3 linked regions of the Cricetulus griseus genome follow. The protein of the gene in region 3 purifies or fractionates together with the protein of the main gene of each other region. This does not show direct contact. Links are inferred from orthologs where the notes say so. Each region holds a gene or a part of one and is shown on either strand. Other genes may lie near its edges.

Evidence for each region.
Region 1: the proteins of Slmap (region 3) and Stk4 purify together in Homo sapiens (co-immunoprecipitation; 3 studies listed by BioGRID and IntAct, with this or other methods). This does not show direct contact. The link is inferred for Cricetulus griseus from reciprocal best matches to the Homo sapiens genes SLMAP and STK4.
Region 2: the proteins of Slmap (region 3) and Strip1 purify together in Homo sapiens (affinity purification with mass spectrometry; 4 studies listed by BioGRID and IntAct, with this or other methods). This does not show direct contact. The link is inferred for Cricetulus griseus from reciprocal best matches to the Homo sapiens genes SLMAP and STRIP1.

The regions. Positions count from the first base shown.
Region 1 is NC_048599.1:15,432,605-15,436,121, forward strand, and holds part of Stk4 (serine/threonine-protein kinase 4), read right to left. Parts: intron 2,005-3,517; coding exon 1,876-2,004; intron 1-1,875. UniProt on the Homo sapiens protein: Stress-activated, pro-apoptotic kinase which, following caspase-cleavage, enters the nucleus and induces chromatin condensation followed by internucleosomal DNA fragmentation.
Region 2 is NW_023276806.1:49,542,692-49,546,208, reverse strand, and holds part of Strip1 (striatin-interacting protein 1), read right to left. Parts: intron 3,262-3,517; coding exon 3,135-3,261; intron 2,931-3,134; coding exon 2,830-2,930; intron 2,184-2,829; coding exon 2,117-2,183; intron 1,646-2,116; coding exon 1,541-1,645; intron 624-1,540; coding exon 419-623; intron 1-418. UniProt on the Homo sapiens protein: Plays a role in the regulation of cell morphology and cytoskeletal organization. Required in the cortical actin filament dynamics and cell shape. Part of the striatin-interacting phosphatase and kinase (STRIPAK) complexes.
Region 3 is NW_023276807.1:193,255,545-193,259,061, reverse strand, and holds part of Slmap (sarcolemmal membrane-associated protein), read right to left. Parts: intron 973-3,517; coding exon 801-972; intron 1-800. UniProt on the Homo sapiens protein: Associates with the striatin-interacting phosphatase and kinase (STRIPAK) core complex, forming the extended (SIKE1:SLMAP)STRIPAK complex.

The DNA.
Region 1 (3,517 bases), on a different chromosome or scaffold from region 3:
GAAACCAGGTTGCCTAGCAACCAAAGATATTAAAACTACACTGACCTCCTGGACTTTCCATTTCAAATGCCCCTTCATTCTCGGGACATATACCAGTGACAAGGACAGAAGGAAAACACAGCACATAAAATGAACATTAGTGCAAGCAATACAGCTCACAATAATCCCGTGTGCTCTCTTCCCTCGCCTCCTGTAGTCACTTTCTCTATTGTGCAAACACACTGTTGGAATATGTTCTATGCAGTCTTGTACTGTCAGCTAGATTTCCTGAACTATACAAGCCTGGCCCATGAACTCCCAAAAATTGGAGAAAAATCACTGATATTCTCTCCAGCTGCTTTAATAAACCAGGCAAATGTCCCCGAAACCCTCCCCTTACTCAAAAGACAGTGACACAAAAATACATCAAAGAAGCAAACAAACAAAACTCTCAGAACACAAGGACTCTGCCATGTCTTTCTTTTTTTCTTAGAAGGCTTAACCCAGAAGGATCTTCAAAATGTCAATTCTTAGCACATGATACTCTTAGGTTTGGATTCCAGCACCCACATGACAGCTCACAACTGTCTATAACTCCATTTCCAGGGGATCTGACACTATCTTCTGGCCTCCACAGTCTTCAGGCACATGTGGTCCACATATATGCATACATGCAGGCATACACATAAAAAAGTAAAAATAGCCAGATGGTGGCGGTGCACCCCTTTAATCCCAGCACTCAGGAGACAGAGACAAACTCTGTGAGTTTGATACCAGCCTGGTCTACAGAGCAAGTTCCAGGACAAGCTCCAAAGCTATAGCGGAACCCTGTCTTAGAAAACCAAAAAAAAAAAGGTAAAAAATAAATCTTTAAAAAAAAAACAAAAAACACTTCAGTTAGAAGCATTTCCATACTGTTTATATATAGTCCCAATTTGCCAAGTAAAAGAGTTTGAGTAAAGTAAATTGAAGTTTGAGTAAAAACAAAAATCATATAGATAAAAAGAAAAACTGCTAACTTAATTCTGGCCAATCCAACCAGGAAAAACAAAAAGGGAGGTTTTTCTATAGCAGACAATAACCACAAAAAGAAGATACAATGGGAAGAAGATGAGCAGTAGCTGTACTTCAAAGTTGGGGAGATTTGAGGTCCCTGCAAAATAACAAAATCCACTGCCCCCACATAATCTACTGCTGAAGTTGAAAACGGATAATAAACTGATCTCACCAAAATTGCCGCCTCATGTGCTAAACTTCTTCACCCTCACTTCCAACTCCCTAGACCTAGCACTGTCCTCAATTTGACTTGTCGCTCACATCTCAACAGTGCTGGGTAAGCCTGCTCCATTGGTGACAACTCATGTTGTCATGGAACTTCAGAGCAGATCACGTGCTCTTTTGTGGTTGACTTTGAGGCCAACTTCCTGCTTACAGCATTTGACAAATCTTAGTTCCTCAAAACTAAAACACTTAAGAACTCTCAACTGGAATAAAAAGAACAGTTGATACCTAAACAAATATTCCCTTTTTATAGACCAATCTGACAGTCTACAGTTTCTGGGACTGAAAGGCATTTGAATTATCTCAGCAGAAAATTTTCTCAAAAGAAAGTAAGAGAGAGCAAGTAAGTGAGTGAGCGAGCAAGCAAGCAAGAAAGAACGAGCCACTGTCTGTCTCTTCCTCATCTCTAAAAGAGCTAATTGATGAAGGAAAAATGCAAAAATGTTAACTACAAATTAGCTACAAAACATATAAGCTTTCTCCTATTTTTCAGAAAATAAGCAGTGATCCCACTGATCCCGCCCTTCTGCAGTTGTCTCAATCTGCAGGTGTCCAACTCTATGATCACAGCAAACACAGCAGCTCACTCTGTCAAAGGGTCCCTCAGGCCTTTACCTGTCACACTGCTGCATTATGGAGATTTCTTTGATTATCTCCTGCAAATCTGACTCCACCGGCACTTGCTTGATAGCAACAATCTGGCCAGTCTCCTTATGAATCGCCTTGTACACGCTGCCATAAGACCTGCAATTGGGAAAGAAGACCATTTATATAAAGTCAGAGCACCAAGACAGAAGATCAGGTTAGCACAATCAACCTACAGAACTTCTTTCTATCCCAAGTATCTAAAGCTTATAAGCTTAGCTAGCTGTATTTGCAAAACTGAGACAGCTTAAGTACCTGGGGGAAAAAAATGGCATCCTAAAACTTCACATTTGGGAACCAGGGTGTAGCTCAGTGGGAGAGCACTCACCTAGCATGAGCAAGGCCCTAGGCTTAATCCCCAGCACCCAAAAAGTTATCAGATCTATTTGATAATTACAATTTTCAAATGACTGTAACAGCTTGCATGCACCATCCCTGATATCTGCTAGAAAATATTCACCTAGGCCTATTATTCTTTGAAAAAATAAAAATTTTTTAAAGACAAAGAGGTGATTATTTTACAAGTAAAACTTAAGAGTTTAGAAAGGTCACATGATGTATCCAAGGTCACATAAGTGATGAGCTTATGATTTGAGCCCATGTAGACTGAACACAACGCTTTTGTTTTCTCTCCACATCAACACAACACGTGTCTGTTTTCCTACAGCCACTCTATTACCAGTCTTTCTGTCCTTACCCTCTATATGCTGCAATGTTTAAAATATGGAAACTCATTAAGACCTAAGCCTCTTTCATGCTAGTATCACAAGAACAGTGCATATGCAAATCTTTTTGCCATCCCTGAATCTGTTTCATCTTCCCTGAAAAGCTTCTCATCAAAATCAAGGTTCTATGTTCATTCAATCTGGGTGCTACAAGAACATTAGGTTTAGAATTAGGTTAGAGCCGGGCATTGGTGGCACATGCCTTTAATCCCAGCACTCGGGAGGCAGAGACGGGTGGATCTCTGTGAGTTCGAGACCAACCTGGTCTACAAGAGCTAGTTCCAGGACAGCCTCCAAAGCCACAGAGAAACCCTGTCTCGAAAAAAAAAAAAAAAAGAATTAGGTTAGAATTAGGTAAAGATATTAGACTGCATCCCACCACCACTACACAGTGTTACAAAAACAAGAGTTAGCTCTCTTGTGCCTGAATTCTCTTATTCACAAGATGACAGAGGAAAAAAAAAAAAAAAAAAAAAAAAGACTTACAAACTCCCTTATAAGTGGGTTATGGTGCTCTAGTGAGATACCACTAGAATCTTACACACATTTTTTTTTTCATTAATGTCCAGGGTAGGTCTCAGTGAAATATGAGAAAATCCATTTTTAAATTTCCCAAACAAACCAGGGCAGGAGTGGTGCACACCTTTAATCCCAGCACCTGGGAGGCAGAGGCAGGTGGATTTCTGTGAGTTCGAGGCCAGCCTGGTCTACAGAGCGAGTTCCAGGTCAGACAGGGCTACACAGAGAAACCTTGTCTCAAAAAACTGAAAAACCAAAATGAATAAATAAATTTCCCAAACACACCTGATTCTTCATACTATCTTGGTGAAAAGAAAACCAAAGTAAAGGATGTGATCTAAAATGTCAAAATAACAGAGTATTTCTCA
Region 2 (3,517 bases), on a different chromosome or scaffold from region 3:
ATCTCATGGCAATTTCTAGAAAAGACATGATTTAGAGTAGAGAGATGGAGAAACAGATGACCACAGACACTGAGCAGTTTTCCACTTTTGCCTGGTGCTCCCTTCTTGGTGCCACAAAAACTAGAGCCAGGTTCCTTTTTTTTTTGTTTTTGTTTTTTGTTTTTCAAGACAGGGTTTTCCTTTGTACTTTTAGAGCCTGTCCTGGAACTAGCTCTTGTAGACCAGGATGGTGTCAAACTCACAGAGATCGCCTGTCTCTACCTCCAAAATACTGGGATTAAAGGTGTGCACCACCACCGCCCAGCTAGCCAGGCCCCGTCTGTGCCTCAGGGTAGAAACAGCTAAGGTACCAGAGGCAAGGAGTCAAAAGTGTGCCTTGTCCCACCCTCTTCCAATCTTGCTTCCCAAATGGCCTTACCATTGCCGTATGCCCAGTCGTCGTTCAGCCGATGTCGCACCTTCTGGTAGATGGCAGACATTGTCTTCATGTTGCTCTTGCGCCACTGTCGCCCCAAGTATTTGGTCTGCACTTTGAGCAGCTTTAGCACATAGAGCTGCATCATGGCTTGCTTCACCTTCAGGGCCCGCTTCAGGATGGGTGCCGACTTGAACACCACCAGCATCTGTGTGGACACAGTGACAGCCATTGCAAGGAAAGGAGTAAGTGTGTGTGCCACTACATGGTCACTTAACACTTGCCAGGTAGGGAACAGGGCGACAAGCCATGCAGTTTCTCCTAAACTCACTGGTTTTCTGGTACACAGAGAAAACTTTAAGCACTAAAACTAGCACAGCTACGGCAAACCACAAGGGTTGGTCACCCTAATTATGGGTCACTCTGTAATCTCCTTTCTGAGAATTCATGGACCTGCCCTGTCCAAAGGTCAGGATCAGGGATAAGGCGGCTCTCGGACCCCTGACTATCATTTCCCAATCAGGATCAAGAGGCTACGGAAGATGTATCTGTAAGGGTGGATTTGTTTCAGTGCATGACTGAGAGTCTCTACCAGCTTCTGCTTCTACCAAGAACCAGATGTCTGCAGAACTGAGTAAGGACAATGCTGCCTCAAAAGCTCCATCCTCGTCAGGCGTTGGTGGCACATGCCTTTAATCCCAGCACTTGGGAGGCAGAGGCAGGTGGATCTCTGTGAGTTCAAGGCCAGCCTGGTCTCCAGAGCAAGTGCCAGGATAGGCTCCAAAGCTACACAGAGAAACCCTGTCTCAAAAAACAAACAATCAGGGGCTGGAGAGATGGCTCAGAGGTTAAGAGCACCAACTGCTCTTCCAGAGGTCCTGAGTTCAATTCCCAGCAACCACATGGTGGCTCACAACCATCTGTTATGAGATCTGGTGCCCCCTTCTGGTGTACAGATATACATGGAAGTAGAATGTTGTATATATAATAAATAAAATCTTAAAACAAACAAACAAAAAACAAAAGCTCCACCCTGAGGACTCCCTGCCCCAGGTGAGGGGAGGCATAGCACGTGGCACTCCTCTGTGAGTTCCCAGTTCCAGACTTGCTGCAGCAGTGACTCACCATGGTCCTTGAGTGTTTCCATTTTGTTAGTTTGTTCAAGATCCGAAGAAGATTAATGCAAGAAAAGAGGTTCCTCCAGCAAAACTGGTTGTTGTCACCAGCTTCCTGCAGGGAAAAGGAAAAGGAAAAGCAGCCACAGGCTGCTCAGCAGTGTCCAATGGCCTTGACAAATATACCACAGTGGCCATGTGTCAATGCTTCTAGCATCAAGTTCTCTGTCTCACAGCCAAAGGGAAACTCCATCCCACAAGTTGAAAGAGAAGCAGGGACTCAATAGACTTTTCCTGAAGGAAGCATGGGCCATAAAACCAGGAACCATAGCCCCAGACTTCAGTGGGAAGATGCAAGCAGCTTGAGTAGGCAAGTTCTAGGTCAGCAGCCCCTGCAGAACATGCTCCCTGACTAGCCCTAACCTATCCCAGGTGTTCTGCCCTATAAAATCCCTCCCCAACTTTATGGCCATTTCTGGCATTTTAAAAGCCAAAGGTGACCTCATCTGAAAGATTCCTCTATCTTTGCTTTGCAGGAGGCAACCCTCATAACAAAGGAATAGCCAGGGCAATCCCAGCCACTCACCAGACTCTCTGCAGTTAACTCTGGAAGCTCATTTACCACGCAGTGAGGGTAATCCAGGACAGAAATGCTGAAGAATGCAAGAAGACACAGTGTGCACCGTGAGTAAAGGCTGGGTCTGTCAGTAGCCATGATTTAAACTGAAGCAGAAGTAGCAATCTACCTTACTTGCTCTAACCCTGACTATAAGATGAGGAACTATCTGCTACAATACATGTGGAAAGTTTCCCTATGACAGGTTCAGTTTATAATCTAATTAGTAACCTGCAGCTTTCCCCATAACATGAATCTAGGAGGTAGGGCTCAAGACAATTGATGTATGCCAAGCTCTCTTAGAAGCCACAGCTACCCAGACACTTCCCTTGTGATGTCTCACACTGATAAGCAGGTGCTATCAGGTCCAGCGGGCACAAGGTGGGTGTTAAGGAAGGCCAAGCTCCTTACAGAGAACTGTGAGGGGAAAGGGAAGAAGGATAGAAGTAGTAGTGAAGGCAATTCTGGAGCTTAGGATGAGAGCCTCCTGGTCAAAAACAAAGTCACTAGACTAGCTAACCTCAAAACAGACACACTGTCATTCATTTTGTCTCCTGATGCCTGGCAAAGTGTTGACTCATAGATGCTCAGAAAAATGTCTGCTGAGGAGTCTCAATGGAGAGGCCAGATAGAAATCCTGCCATTTGCCTATTCTACCCTTTCTTGGCCCTGGTCCTTATCACCTGTTCTTGGCAGTGATGTAGGACATGATATTTTGATTGAAGAACTTCAGGATCAAAGGAATGCAGTTGGCAAAGACCAGGTGCTGAGCCATGTATTCAAACTGAAACCAACAGAAGAAAAATAAGCATGCCTCTTATTCTCTTTTCTCTAGAGACAAAAAGCCTTGGCTGGATAATCTCATATTAGAATGCTCATGCAGAGAGCTTAAGTGGGCTCAAAGCCAAGCCCTATTCTCGGGTTAGGGAGCAGTATGGACTGAGGCACAGGCGCAGTGCACACGAAGGCAGACAGACCCTACAGGTACCTGGTAGATGTGGTTCAACTTAAAGTGCTTGAGCAGCAGCAGCAGCACAGCAGAAATGGCCTTAACGATGACCTCCTTGTGGCGGTTCACATCCACCCCCAGCTTCATGCTCTGCAACACTGTGGTGCTAGAAACACAAGTGCCTGATGAGTCGCCAGCACACACACAGCACCTTCTGCCTAGGCATCCATAGTGGGGATGGATTCCAGAACCCTCTGGTAAAGGACCAAATCCCACAAACACTTCAGAGGTCAGCCTTAGGAATCCCATCTACCCATCTCCCAAATGATCCAGCCAGACACAACTTCCATCTTCCCCATGATGCTGCCCATCTAGTTCCTGATTTACTTAGAAGTTCACTCAGTGACAGTCTGTGCTGAGAT
Region 3 (3,517 bases):
GAAATCAAGTTATAAGCAAAATTACATAAAAACTTATGTATATTTGTGAAGAAAAAAAGAGGAGGAGAATACAGTTCCACAGAACAGGCATTTGGCTGCCTGTATACAGATGAATTTTTAACTTTTTTTCTTGTTTTCTGACATACATCTCATACAGCTTAAGCTGTCCTCAAACTCACTAAGTAGCTGAGGCTGACCTTGAACTCCTGATTCTCCTGCTCCACCTCCCAAGTGCTGGGACTGTAGGTGTGCATCACCTTGCCCATCTGTATATACATTTTACTTTGGTGTTTTGAGCTAGGGTTCATTGTGTAACCCATCAAAGCCTTGAACTCATTCCAATCCTCCTGCCTCAGCCTCCCAGGTGCTGGAATGACACACATGAGCCACCACAGCAGGGTAAGTGACTTTTTAGCCACTTTCCCAGGAGCATATAGCTCTAGTACTACAGGGTTGTCCAAGTTTGTAGTTTGCCTTCTGAAAGAATGCTTCATTTAATATGACACACTCCTTGATAAACAGACCACGCAATCTGTTACAAAGGGTCTCTCATGTCAGTCAACTGTTAGAGAAAAATTAAAAACTAGCTCTGTTGTCTGTTTAAAAGCAAACACTTGATAAATTCTCTCAATAATGGACCATGACGCACAGCTAGTAATTACCAGGCTGGGATGTTCCAAGTGTCAACTGTCAGGTAATATGCTTTCTGCTTTTCTTTATTTCTAAGAAGCATGGATATCTGATTTGCCTTTGGCTTTAAGTCCAACCATAATTGGGCTGAGCATGTCTTTTCGCTTTACCTCTTTCTGAACATCCTTTGCTTGGTTTTCAGCCTTACTGAGAAGAGTTTTTAAGTCAGCTGAGTCTCGAAGGTGTTGCTCTTTCAAGGATCCCACTTGGTTCTCAAGCTCTTTCCTGGTCATCTGGAGGATGCTGAGGTCACTAGTAAGCTCCAAACTCTGCTTCTGAGAACTGCAACATAAACACCTACAGTTATTCACAGCAGACTCTGGACACAGAGAAAGCCCAGAATCCTCAGCATTTCACAGCAGGGGAAAAAAAAGGGGGGGGGGCTGTAAAAAAAAAAAAAAAAAAAAAAAAGATGTTCAGTAAGGAAAAGGCATTAACATTAAGACATTTCAAAAGAAAAACCAGTAGAAATTTTATAAACAGAAGGAAATGACTAATTTTATTTTTGGGTTTTTCTTTACTTTTGTTTTCTTGTTTTGAGACAGGGTCATAATGTAGCTTTGGCTGGCCTGGACCTTCCTTGGTAGACCAGGTGGGCCTTGAACTCAAAGAAATCTGCCTGCCTTTGCCTTCTAAATGCTGGGATTAAAGATATGCATCCCTGGGGCTGGACAGATGGCTCAGAGGTTAAGAACAATGACTGCTCTTTCAGAAGTCCTGAGTTCAATTGCCAGCAATCACATGGTGGCTCACAGCCATCTATAATGAGATCTGGTAACCTCTTCTGGCCTGCAAGCATACATGGAGGCAGAATGTTGTATACATAATAAATAAATAAAAATCTTAAAAAAAAAAAAAAAAGGAGGCCAGGCGGTGGTGGCGCACACCTCTAATCCCAGCACTTGGGAGGCAGAGGCAGGCAGATCTCTGTGAGTTTGAGACCAGCCTGGTCTACAAGAGCTAATTCCAGGACAGCCTCCAAAACCACAGAGAAACCTTGTCTTGAAACCACCACCACCCCCAAAAAAGATATGCACATCCATGCCTGGTCCTAATTATATATTTTAATATATCAAATTATCTTCACTAATTTGTCATAAATACATTAAAAATGTGTATTTCAATTATGTTACAAGATTAAGTATTTGAAAAGAGAATAGGGATCAGAAACCTGAAGCTGAGGCATAACTGCTAACTCAAGCAAAGACAAATCCTGTGCAAATGAAAAGTGCCATCATATGGGGAAGAAAGCACATGACAAGGAACTAGACTGGGAGGTGGAGCCTGGCCTTACCACACTGAACTGTGAGGTATGGAGCTAGTCACTTAACTGGTCACCTTACTCTCTGAATAAACATTTCCTGAACTCTTAGATGTGCACAAGTACCATGCTGCAAATATCAAGGGGCATCTCAGTGACCTCTTGTATCAGACATTCACCTCTGTGCTAGTTGTTTTCTGTCACTGACACAATCTAGAGTCATCTGGGAAGAGGGAGCCTCAGATGAGAAATCCCCCTGCCAGTCTAGCTTGTGAGCAAGCTTGTGGGGTGTTTTCTTGATTGTTGATGTAGGAGGGGGCTCAGTCTACTGTGAGTGGTACCACCCCTTGGCAAGTGGTCCTAGGTTGTGAATAAGTCATGAGAAGTAAGCCAATATGCATCAATCAATCCTCCAAGGCCCCTGTCTCAGTTCCTGTCTCCAGGTTCCTGCCCTAACTTCCTTCAGTGATAGTCTGTGACATGAGAGTTACAAGATATAATAAACCCTTTCCTCTCCAAGTTGCTTTGGGCATGGTGTTTTTGGGTTTTTTTGGGTTTTTTTGTTTTTTGGTTTTTTCAAGACAGGGTTTCTCTGTGTAGCTTTGGAGCCTATCCTGGCACTCACTCTGGAGACCAGGCTGGCCTTGAACTCACAGAAATCCACCTGCCTCTGCATCCTGAGTGCTAGGATTAAAGGCGTGCACCACCAACGCCCGGCATTGGGCATGGTGTTTTATCACAGCAATAGAAACCCTGACTAAGATAACATCTTAAGTTATTCTCCAGCTTTAATCACATGATTATTCTTATAATTTGCTATTAAAAATAACTTATACATGAGGAAAGTAACTTGATATGAATGAATATCAATGCCTTTTTCAGAAAATGGGTAGAGCATGTGGTAGAGCTCTAGTGGTAGACCATGTGGCTAACATGACCGAGATCCTGGGTTCAACCTCCAGTATGAATAATAATAATAATAATTCCTTGTTCAATTCTTTGATAACAATGAAAAAATAGACTTATATGGCTTAGAGAAAAATGAGCTCCCACAAACAGTTAAAACAATATTTTTTAGGGTTGAAGAGATGGCTCAGATGGCACTAGTTGCTCTTCCAGAGGACTTGTGTTTGATTCTCTGCATCCACACTGCAGTTCACAACCATTTGTAATGCCAGTTCCAGGGTATATGCTGCCCTCTTCTGGCTTCTGCAGTCAAAGAATGCACACGGTGTACATGTACACAGGCAACAAAACACCCAGACATAAAAAGCATTTTTTTTTAAATATAAGATTTTCAAAGTGACAGTGTTACGCCTTTTAGAATGAAACTTAATCAGATTCATTACTAAAAACAGTACAGAGTATATATTTCACTCTGCTTATATAATGGACAGATCATTAAGGATGAATCTGATACTATCAGGACAATAAACATAGGTAACTAAAGGGCTTTTAAGACCCTGTGTAATGAGAAGCTTAGCAAATAAATGTACAGTACTCAGACAGAAATGTTCAAGAAACAGAATTAATATATCTTATGTACTTTATGTGAGTGTAGACAGA